Linked DNA regions of Sus scrofa. Each later gene encodes a partner of the first gene's protein in a complex. Links are inferred from orthologs where the notes say so. Each region holds a gene or a part of one and is shown in the gene's direction. Other genes may lie near its edges.

Evidence for each region.
Region 2: SNRNP40 (region 1) and SNRPG share a complex: the UniProt entries of both Homo sapiens proteins name them as parts of the U4/U6-U5 tri-snRNP complex. The link is inferred for Sus scrofa from reciprocal best matches to the Homo sapiens genes SNRNP40 and SNRPG.
Region 3: SNRNP40 (region 1) and SART1 share a complex: the UniProt entries of both Homo sapiens proteins name them as parts of the U4/U6-U5 tri-snRNP complex. The link is inferred for Sus scrofa from reciprocal best matches to the Homo sapiens genes SNRNP40 and SART1.

Annotation. Positions count from the first base shown.
Region 1 is NC_010448.4:87,862,607-87,866,254, reverse strand, and holds part of SNRNP40 (U5 small nuclear ribonucleoprotein 40 kDa protein), read left to right. Parts: intron 1-2,413; coding exon 2,414-2,536; intron 2,537-3,648. UniProt on the Homo sapiens protein: Required for pre-mRNA splicing as component of the activated spliceosome. Component of the U5 small nuclear ribonucleoprotein (snRNP) complex and the U4/U6-U5 tri-snRNP complex, building blocks of the spliceosome.
Region 2 is NC_010445.4:72,197,577-72,201,324, forward strand, and holds the start of SNRPG (small nuclear ribonucleoprotein G), read left to right. Parts: upstream 1-1,145; 5' UTR 1,146-1,267; coding exon 1,268-1,299; intron 1,300-3,748. UniProt on the Homo sapiens protein: Plays a role in pre-mRNA splicing as a core component of the spliceosomal U1, U2, U4 and U5 small nuclear ribonucleoproteins (snRNPs), the building blocks of the spliceosome.
Region 3 is NC_010444.4:6,366,819-6,370,466, reverse strand, and holds part of SART1 (U4/U6.U5 tri-snRNP-associated protein 1), read left to right. Parts: intron 1-38; coding exon 39-94; intron 95-759; coding exon 760-886; intron 887-1,011; coding exon 1,012-1,117; intron 1,118-1,664; coding exon 1,665-1,742; intron 1,743-1,851; coding exon 1,852-1,951; intron 1,952-2,034; coding exon 2,035-2,177; intron 2,178-2,295; coding exon 2,296-2,502; intron 2,503-3,217; coding exon 3,218-3,342; intron 3,343-3,419; coding exon 3,420-3,553; intron 3,554-3,648. UniProt on the Homo sapiens protein: Plays a role in mRNA splicing as a component of the U4/U6-U5 tri-snRNP, one of the building blocks of the spliceosome. May also bind to DNA.

The DNA of each region.
Region 1 (3,648 bases):
TTCTTAGGGCTGCACCCGTGGCATAAGGAGATTCCCAGGCTAGGGGTCCAATTGGAGCTACAGCTGCCAGCCTATGCCACAGCCAAAGCACTGCAGGATCTGAGCTGCGTCTGCGACCTACACCACAGCTCATGGCAATGCCAGATCCTTAACCCACTGAGCAAGGCCAGGGATCGAACCTGCAACCTCATGGTTCCTAGTTGGATTCATTTCCACTGTGCCACGATGGGAACGCCTAGTGTTAGATGTTTTTTTGCTTTGTTTTGTTTTGGCCCCATGAGCATGTGGAAGTTCCCATGTTAGTTTCTTGATTCTGATGATTGTGTTCAGATTATGTAGGGAAACATCTTTGGAGAACAAATGTAGTAAACGCTGAAGTATTTACAAGCATCAGAACATGAGGGTAGCAATTCTAAAATAATTTAGGCAGAAGAAGAGTTCACTTTTGCAGCTTCTTTGGTAAGTGTGACTATTTCAAAATAAAATAATCTTAAATTATGGTTGTGGAGTTCCCATCATGGCTCATTGGGTTAAGAACCCAACTAGTATCCATGAAGATGCGGGTTTGATCCCTGGCCTTGCTCAGTGGGTTAAGGATCCAGCTTTGCCTAAAGCTGTGGTGTATGTCACAGATGTAGCTTGGATCTGGCATTGCTGTGGCTGTGAATGCAGCCCTAAAAAAGCAAAGCAAAAAAAGAAACAAACAAACAAAAAAAAACGCCTCAAGAGAACCTCTAACTTAAAGTCTTTAAAATAAAAATCCTAATAAATTTAAAATATTAGGATCTGAAATATGACACAAATGAACCTATTTATGAAACAGACTCATAGACATAGCGAACAGGCTTGTGGTTGCCAAAGGGAAGAGTGGAAGGAGGTGGGATGGACTGGGAGTTTGAGGTTAGTAGATGCAAACTATTACATTTAGGATGGATAAGCAATGAGATCCTATGGTATAGGACAGGGAACTATATTCATTCTCTCAGGATAGACCAGGATGGAAGATAATACAAGAAAGGGAATGTGTATATATGAAGGACTGGGTCACTTTGCTGTACAGCAGGAACTGCCACAACAGGAAGTTACCATTGTGGCTCAGCGGTAACGAGCCCAACTAGTAACCATGAGGATGCTGGTTTGATCCCTAGCCTCTCAGTGGGTTAAAGGATCTGGCGTTGCCATGAGTTGATGGTGTAGGTCACAGACACGGCTTGGATCTTATGTGCCTGTGACTTTGGCATAGGCTGGCAGCTGTAGCTCCAATTCAACCCCTAGCCAGAGACCTTCCATATGCCACAGGCCCTAAAAAGCAAAAGAAAGAAAAGGAAGGAAGGAATTGGCACAACATTGTTAATCAACAATACTTTAATTTAAAAAAAAATTTATAAAATGTAAAAATTTTTAATTTTAATTAAAAAGGAAGAAGGAAGGTCCATTCATCTTCCTCAGGTACTTAGGAACCTATACCAGGATTGTAGACTGTTGTCTTCAAAGCTGTTGCTGAGTAGGAATGGAGTGAGTTAAAATACTGCAAAACTCTTCTTACTAGACCCCAGGTGGGTTTTTCCTCATTAAATATTCACTTGGTTGCTGTAAACTCTAGTTTCTAGAGTTTTGATAAAGTTGATTCTGCCAGGTTTTTTGCCAGGTAAGTCTCTGCTCTTGTAGGAACAATTTTTGGGCAATCCCTGCTCTTGCCTTTTTCACTGATGTAGGCTCCTCTGTCTGTCCCCCCGCCCCCATATATATATATATTTTTTTTTCTTTAAATGTAAGTTGCAGCCCACTAATGAATTAATATCTACAGTTTGAAAATACTGAACTAATAATACCCTTTGTATACTAAGAACATATGAACTAATAAACAAGGTAAAGATTTTTACTCCAAGGACATGTTTGTTAACTGTGTTTATTCAAACTTTAAGTTCCCGTCGCGGCTCAGTGGTTAATGAATCTGACTAGGAACCATGAGGTTTTGGGTTCAATCCTTGGGCTTGCTTAGTGGGTTAAGGATGCTGCATTGCCATGAGCTGTGGTGTACGTTGCAGATGCGGCTTGGATCCACATTGTTGTGGCTCTGGCGTAGACCAGTGGCTACAGCTCCAATTAGACCCCTAGCCTGGGAACCTCCATATGCCACGGGTGCAGCCCTAAAACACACACACACAAAAAAAAAAACTTTAACAAAGGAGTCTGAAAATAGAACCAGCGTGATTTGTTCCACCAGCCTTCAGATATGTTGGCAAAATTATAGTCACTTTTCACGATGTTTATAGGATATCCAGACAAGTTTCGGAACAGGGTCCCCATTTCAAATGTTTTCACCTCTGTAAAAGTCCTTGGACTTAAGGGTGTACTATGCAGTTGCTTCTTAGAGTGATGTTACTGTAGATTCTCTTGTCTTCTTTTTCAGCTTTGGGACATCCGTAAGAAAGCAGCCATCCAGACATTTCAGAATACCTACCAGGTGTTAGCTGTGACCTTCAATGACACAAGTGATCAAATTATTTCTGGTGGAATAGACAATGATATCAAGGTATGTTAGATGTTTGTTATGTTTACCTCTCACCTATCTCCACTCACAGAGGTAAATTTTTCCATACTTCTTAGGTTTGCACTTTATACCAACTAAATGGAAGATAATAACTTAGAAGTCGTTTCCTTTCTGTCCTATCCTCATTGACTTCCTAAGTCATGGTTGCATTGCAGCTTGTATAAATGCTGTCAGGAACCAGGCAGTTAACGTGAAATAGGAAGTTCTTATGTGTGAACTTTGAAAGTGAAGAATGCATTCCCTGCCTAAAGGTATTTGAAACTTTTTTTTTTTTTTTTTTGGTCTTTTTGTTATTTCTTGGGCCGCTCCCGCGGCATATGGAGGTTCCCAGGCTAGGGGTCCAATCGGAGCTGGGAACCGAGCCGCGTCTGCAACCTACACCACAGCTCACGGCAACGCCGGATCCTTAACCCACTGAGCAAGGGCAGGGACCAAACCCGCAACCTCATGGTTCCTAGTCAGATTCGTTAACCACTGCGCCATGACGGGAACTCCGGAAACTTTTTTTTTTTTTTTTTTTTAATTTGCATTGGGGAGTTCTGTTGTGGCTCAGCAGTAATGAACCCAACTAGTATGCATGAGGACTCAGGTTCGATCCCTGGCCTCATTCAGTGGGTTAATGATCTGGCATTGCTGTGAGCTGTGGTGTAGGTGACAGACACAGCTTGGATCTGACATTGCTGTGTCTGTAGGTCAGCAGCTACAGCTCTGATTCCATCCCTAGCCATGGAAACTTCCATATGCCCCAGGTTCGGCCCTGAAAAGACAAAAAAAAAACAAAAAACAACAAAAACCCCTGCATTTGTCTCTTGAGATAGCAGTAAATCAATTTGTGATTCTGTACCCTAATCTCTCAGTATGTCTTTCTTTTTGAGACTATAGAAAGGAAGTTTTGAGGGATCCATAGCTAAGAATGTGAGAAGGTAATGATGTTGGAGAAAGAAGGAGGCAGTAGACTATGTGGCAGTATAGTGTAGCTAAAGCTTTCAGGTAATTGACTTGGGGTCTGATCTCAATTCCACCATTTTGCGGTTTTTTGTTAATTCAAGGTAGTTCCTTAACTTCTTTCAGCCTCTGCTCATTTGTGCAGCAGA
Region 2 (3,748 bases), on another chromosome or scaffold:
TATTTCTTTGGGCCGCTCCCGCGGCATATGGAGGTTCCCAGGCTAGGGGTCGAATCGGAGCTGTTGCCACCGGCCTACGCCAGAGCCACAGCAACGCGGGATCCGAGCCATGTCTGCAACCTACACCACAGCTCACGGCAACGCCGGATCGTTAACCCACTGAGCAGGGGCAGGGACCGAACCCGCAACCTCACGGTTCCTAGTCGGATTCGTTAACCACTGCGCCACGACGGGAACTCCTCTAGATTAAAATTTTTGGAAACTGAGGCCCCCTCACTCTATTCCTTTGGTGCAGAGGTCGTTAACTGAGCTGTTACTAGAACCTTAGTTGTAGCATGACATCCTGTGGGAATACTAAAATACCACAGGTTCAACAGTGAAGCAAATACCTCAAAGCAAGTCACAAGATTTTTTTTTTCTTAGTGTGATTACCTATCATAGATCACCATAACGAATACAGTAATGAAAAAATTTGAAATACTGTAAGAATTATCAAAATGACACAGACACAAAGTGAACAAATGCTCTTGGGAAAATGGCGCTGGGAGATTTGCTGGACTCTGGGCTGCCTCAAACCTTCAATTTGCTAAATTAAAAAAAAAAAAAAAACGAGTTCCCGATGTGGCTCAGGGAGTTAAGAACCGGACTAGTATCCATGAGGATACTAGTTTGATTCCTGGCCTCGCTCAGTAGGTTAAGAATCCAGCGTTGCTTTGTCTATGGCAAAAGCCAGCAGCTGCAGCGCAGATTTGACCCACAGCCTGGGAACTTCCATATGCGGAGGGTTCGGTCCTAAAAAGACCAAAAAAAAAAAAACCGCAGTGTTTGCAGAGGACAACAAAGGGAAGAACAACACATGGAAGTATGCACACACATGCCAAAGAAATTTTTAGGAGCCTACCCCTCCAGAGCTTATTTTCATCTGGTAGCGTCAAGACAACTTTGCAACCCACAAAGACAATGAGTTAACCAGCGTCCTTCAAATGCTAGAGGCAGGAACAGCAACCCAATTACAAAGAGGAATATAAAGACTGGAGGCCCCACCCCTCCGCTCTAGCCAATCCCTGGCGACACAACGGAAGCTTGGGACTGATCTGCGAGCTCAGGATTTTCCTAAGTATCGCGACGTGAAACGTGAAAGCGGCCAACAATCAATTGGCTAACGGGATCAGTGACGTCAGACGCAAAGCACCGGGCCTACCGCTGGAGCGTGAGGGAGAACACGAATTCCGTTTGGAGGTTTCTTTGAGTTCGCGGAGTAGGCATCATGAGCAAAGCTCACCCGCCGGAGTTGAAGAAGTAAGTATGCATGAGGGCCGCGCATAAATGGCGGCTTCTTTGTAGGCCTTGAGTTCCTTGGATCCCCAGCCATTTCCGGAGAGTGTGTCTGCCGTGCTTATTGCCACTGGCTGCCGCCGCGATCCGGGCCACCGTCCCACGTTTCCGGGCCTGCATCCCGCGCAAATGTTGTATTTCGGCCTGGTGGGCATGCTTTTCAAAGACGTAAAGGCCCCTCCGTCTGCAGGTTTGCCTCCCAGGCCGGAGTTCCTGGCCGGGTCTCTGGCACTCGATCCTTCGTTACTTAAAGATCTTGAATACCACAGTTAGCTGAACGCCTTGAGTAGCATCACGTTCGAGATAAGGTGGTTGGACAGTAATTCTGTAAGGAACTAAGGAGGTGGATGGAATGGAATTGTTTTGATGGTATATGAGAAATTCAAAAGCTGCCTTCATCTTAGTGTGTTGGTGGTTCCTTTGAGCTTTAACTTAGAAATCCCGTTCTTGGGAGTTCCCGTCGTGGCGCAGTGGTTAACGAATCCGATTAGAAACCATGAGGTGGCGGGTTCGGTCCCTGCCCTTGCTCAGTGGGTTAAGGATCCGGCGTTGCCGTGAGCTGTGGTGTAGGTTGCAGACTCGGCTCGGATCCCGCGTTTCTGTGGCTCTGGTGTAGGCCAGTGGCTACAGCTCCGATTCAGCCCCTAGCCTGGGAACCTCCATATGCCGCGGGAGCGGCCCAAAGAAATAGCAAAAAGACAAAAAAAAAAAAAGAAATCCCGTTCTTTTTTCTTAATTTCTTGCACTTAGGTTGAACTTGAATGTGTGATATTTTGCTCTGTTAACTGGAATGCGTGAGAACATTCATTTTTCTCTAATTAGAGAAGGCTCTTTTGTTGGGGGGGTGTTCTTGGTAAGATTTCCTTTTTGATTCTTAAGATATTAATGAGAGTTTTTAATTACCTTTCTTTTCTTATATGTAGATTTCAATAATTGTGAGATCCTGCCAGGTCTACCTCCAAAATGACTTTTAACTTTTTCTTCCTTACCATCTTTTTTTGGAGTTCCCTCGTGGCTCAGCCGGTTAAGGATCCAACATGGCACTGCTGTGGTTCAAGTTCAGTCCCTAGCCCAGGAACTTCCGCATGCCACCCACGAGGCCCGAAATCTTTTTTTTTTTTTGCATTTTTATATCTTCCGTCTGCTTTTAATATAATTCTGTGGTTCTTAACTGTGGTGTAGAGAGTCTGGTTCTACCAGCATTTAGTAGGTAGAGGCCAGGGTTCCTGCTAAATATTCTACAGTGCACTGGACATCACTCAACAACAGAATTATCTGGTCCCAGATGTCAGTATGCCAAGGTTGAGATACCCTGGCCCAATCATATTCTTCCTACCCCTCTTAAAAATCATTGCCAAAGTAGTCTTTTTTTTCCCCCAGTTTTTTTGAGATAAAATTGACCTACAGCACTACGTAAGTTCAAGATGTACAGCGTAATGGATTGATTTACACATGCTTCAGTAATCTTAGCCATGCCTGATACTGCTGCAGTAACTTATTGCCATCTGCATAATAAAGTCCAGACTTCTTGAACCAGCAGTAACGCTCCTCCATTTGAAATCCAAGCACCAAATATTACACACGCTAATATTTGAGTACCATGTTCTTGGGCCAAACTGAACCATTTGATTTTGCTCAAACTTTTTCACTGCTGAGTGACTTTGGAAATTTTACTTAACCTTTCTGGGCCTTGGTTCCCCATCTGTTAATTGGTGGTAATAACAATGCATAACTTAAAAAGCTTTCATAAGGATTAAATAAAATAAGTTCATATGTGTTATATTTGTGTTTTTTTATAACATCCTAGTAAAATTGATTGTTTTACATGTCATACTATATATTTTTATTTGTAAAAACCTGTCTTCTTACACCTTCTTCAGGCCTCATGTCTTATTTATCTTTGAATTCTCCATGATATACATTAAAATTGAATGAAGTTTCATATTTTCTAGCCTACAGCAAAGAGGTAAAAACTGGTTTGACTTGTTGGCTTCATATTCTTTTTGTCTTTAGGGCTGCACGCACGGCATATGGAGGTTCACAGGTGGGGGGTCGAATGGGAGCTGTAGCTGTAGCCCCTGGCCTAAACCACAGCCACACCAGATCGGAGCTGTGTCTGTGAGCTACACCACAACTCATGGCAATGCCAGATCCTTAACCACTGAGTGAGGTCAGGGTCCAACCTGCATCCTCATGGATACTCGTTAGATTCACTTCTGCTGAGCCATGACGGGAACGCCCTTGGCTTCATATTCTCATACTACCCTGCTGATATGGAATTTTGTTGCTTAATTCAAATTATTTAAAATTTCAATATGCATTTATTTTGCTAAAGTATACTTGGGTGTTGGAGAATATCCTGAACATTTAAGATTGTTGCTTAATATTAAATAAAACACTATGTATTGTCTCA
Region 3 (3,648 bases), on another chromosome or scaffold:
CTTCGACGGCTTCTAACACGTCTATCTCTTGTTTTCAGTAAACTCCGGGCAAAGTTGGGGCTGAAACCCTTGGAAGTCAATGCCGTCAAGAAGGGTGAGCGTGGGACTGAGGAGGGAGGGAGGGTGGGCTGGTCGGGTCCAGAGGGAGGCCCCCTGAAGCGGTCTTTGAGGAGAGTGGGGCCGAGGCACAGGTTCAGCACCAGTCGTGGTCCCGCGTGTGCGCGTGCGTGCTGCGATGGGCACGGGGCGGGGCCCTCCCGGCTGTTGTGACGCGGATCCGGGACTCAGCTCCTTCTTTCTGTTGGAGCAGTTGGCGTCACAACCTCACTCTGGCTGTGAGGTAGCATTAGATGGGCCGAGAGATCTGCACAGTTGCTGTGCACTAATCTGGCCTGTGTAGGTGTTGAGTGTGTTTTTGCGGTTTTTTTAAAAGTATGATCAGAGGGGAGTTCCTTGGTGGTCTAGTGGTTAAGGATCCAGTTTTGTCGCTGCTGTGGCTAAGGTCACTGCTGTGTTGAGAGTTTGATTCTTGGCCTAGGAACTTCTGTATGCCACAGGCATGCCCCCCCCCCAAAACAAATGTGATCAGAGGGGGTTTGGAGGAAGGCCTGGGGGGTGACATGGGAGTGCGGGATCCTGTGGGAGTGGGGGGGTGAAGGACCTTCTGGCCCCTGAGCTGGAAGGGGCAGCGTGAGTGGCTCCCTCCTCTCCCCACCAGCCATGGGCAGGCATAGCCTCACGTCTGGGCCTCCCTTCCAGAGGCGGGCACCAAGGAGGAGCCCGTGACTGCCGATGTCATCAACCCCATGGCCTTGCGACAGCGAGAAGAACTCCGAGAGAAGCTGGCGGCTGCCAAAGAAAAGCGCCTCCTCAACCAGAAGCTGGGGTGAGGGGTCCCAGCTGGGCAGGCTGGGGGGTGGGGTGGGGGCCTGGGGAGGCGCCGAGGAGCTGCCAAGGTGGGTCGGGGAGCCGGGACTGGCTCCCCAGAGGGTCACTCTCGCCCCTCTTCAGGAAGATAAAGACTCTGGGGGAGGATGACCCCTGGCTGGACGACACTGCAGCCTGGATCGAGAGGAGCCGGCAGCTTCAGAAGGAGAAGGACCTGGCAGAGAAGAGGGTGAGGTCCTGGGCAGCCGGGGTGTGGCTTAGCACCTCTGGTGGCCTGACTGGCTGGTGAGGCTAGGGGCTGACCTGGAGAAGTGAGGCTGGGCCCAGAGCAGTAGGAGGCCCATGGTCCGTGGTGCCTGTGTTGGGTTCTCGGCAGCTTGTCTGCAAGGCATGTGCTTTTTTTTTTTTTTTGTCTTTTGTCTTTTGTTGTTGTTGTTGCTATTTCTTGGACCGCTCCCGCGGCATATGGAGATTCCCAGGCTAGGGGTTGAATCGGAGCTGTAGCCACCGGCCTACGCCAGAGCCACAGCAACGCGGGATCCGAGCCACGTCTGCAACCTACACCACAGCTCACGGCAACGCCGGATCGTTAACCCACTGAGCAAGGGCAGGGACCGAACCCGCAACCTCATGGTTCCTAGTCGGATTCGTTAACCACTGCACCACGACGGGAACTCCGGCATGTGCTTTCTGAGCTCCCCCCTCAGTGAGGCCCCGTGTCCTCTGGAGATCCCGAACAGCGTGAGGTCAGAGGTCACCCCCTCCCTGTCCTGTAGGCCAAGCTGCTGGAGGAGATGGACCAGGAGTTTGGTGTCAGCACCCTGGTGGAGGAAGAGTTCGAGCAGAGGCGGCAGGTGAGGCTTCAGCAGCTGATGGGGGGGCGGGGGGCTGCCATCCCGGTGCTGGGATCCCAGGGCCGGGCGGGTCGGCTCCCGGCTGAGCTGGACCCCTCTTTCTGCCTAGGACCTGTACAGCGCCCGGGACCTGCAGGGCCTCACCGTGGAGCACGCCATCGACGCCTTCCGAGAGGGGGAGACGGTGATCCTCACCCTCAAGGACAAAGGTGGGCTGAGCGGGGTGCTCCGCCTGGGCACGGGCCGGGCCGAGGGCGCGCGTGACCGGCTGCTGCGTCTGCCTCGTCTCCAGGGGTGCTGCAGGAGGAGGAGGACGTGCTGGTGAACGTGAACCTGCTAGACAAGGAGCGGGCGGAGAAAAACGTGGAGCTGCGCAAGAGGAAGCCCGACTACTCGCCGTACGCGGAGAACGAGAGCGTGGACGACTTGGCCCAGGCAGGCCGGCAGCACAGAGGGCGGCAGCGGTGGCGGCCGAGGAGCCCCTGAGGCGATGGTGGCTCTGTGGCTTTTCGGGGGTCAGGCTGGGTCCCAACCTGTACTTCCTGCTTTGCAGCAGAAACCCCGCTCTATCCTGTCCAAGTACGACGAGGAGCTCGAGGGCGAGCGGCCGCAGTCCTTCCGGCTGGAGCAGGGCGGCGTGGCCGACGGCCTCCGGGAACGGGAGCTGGAAGAGATCCGGGCCAAGCTGCGGCTGCAGGCTCAGTCCCTGAGCTCGGTTGGGCCACGGCTCGCCTCTGAGTACCTCACGCCAGAGGAGATGGTGAGCCCTGGGGCCCCATCCGCACACGATCGGTCGTGATCCTGCCTCCCCTCCGCGATCGCCTGCCACCAGGATGAGCAGAGGTGGGAGGGTCGCGTTATGGCCTGGTGCTCAGTCCCTGTGGACAAGCAGTAACCGGCAGCCCTGGTGCTGCAGGGCAGCGGTGGGTGTACACAGAGCAAAGACCGTGAGCCAGGTGGCCCTGTGCTGCTGTTCAGGCTCTGCCACATAGTCAGTCTATACACAGAGTGAGTCTTTCAGCGACAGGCCTGAGCTCTGGTCTGAAACGGGTGACAGGAGCCACCGAGTAAGGGGCTGCTACAAGGACTGGTGACGCGTGCTGAGCGCTGAGTCCGTAGCTGTCAGTAGATGTTGCATGTGGGAAGATTGAATAGCAGGTGGGCAGCTGGCTCGCTAGATGGCCTGGCTCAGTGGTTAAGAGCCAGACCTTGGAGCCGGACTCCCGGGATGCAGGGTCCTGGCTCTCCTGCTTGGGAGGCTGGGTGACTTTGGACGAGGCGCTTAGCCTCTCTGAGCTCGGGTTTCCTCATCTCACAGGTGGAGTGAGGGGCGTCCACACCTTGTGTCACGTTCACGTGGCTGAGGCGCTCAGGACCATGGCCGGCCCAGGGTAGCACTAGAGCGGCCTGCCTTCTCGTGGGCCCGAGCTGCCAGCCTCCCCGAAACCGCGTCTCCTCTGCTCTCCTCCCTCCAGGTGACTTTTAAAAAGACCAAGCGGAGGGTGAAGAAGATCCGCAAGAAGGAGAAGGAGGTGGTGGTGCGGGCCGACGACCTGCTGCCTCTCGGGGACCAGACTCAGGACGGGGACTTCGGCTCCAGGTGGGCTCAGACGTGGGCCTGGCGTGGGGGGCTGGGCCGGCCGGGGCCGGAGCTCACCCGGAGGCCTCTCCCCACAGGCTGCGGGGCCGGGGTCGGCGCCGAGTGCCCGAGGCGGACGAGGAGGCCCAGGAGGAGGAGGAGAAGGAGCCGGTGCCTCTGCCCCCGCAGTCAGATGACACCCGTGTGGAGAACATGGACATCAGCGACGAGGGTGAGGGCCCAGCGGCTGAGAGGGGGCAGAGGGGGTGGGACGGGGGCCTGGGGGGCCCGGGGCCCCGGAGAGGACCTGAGCAGGCAGGCGACTTC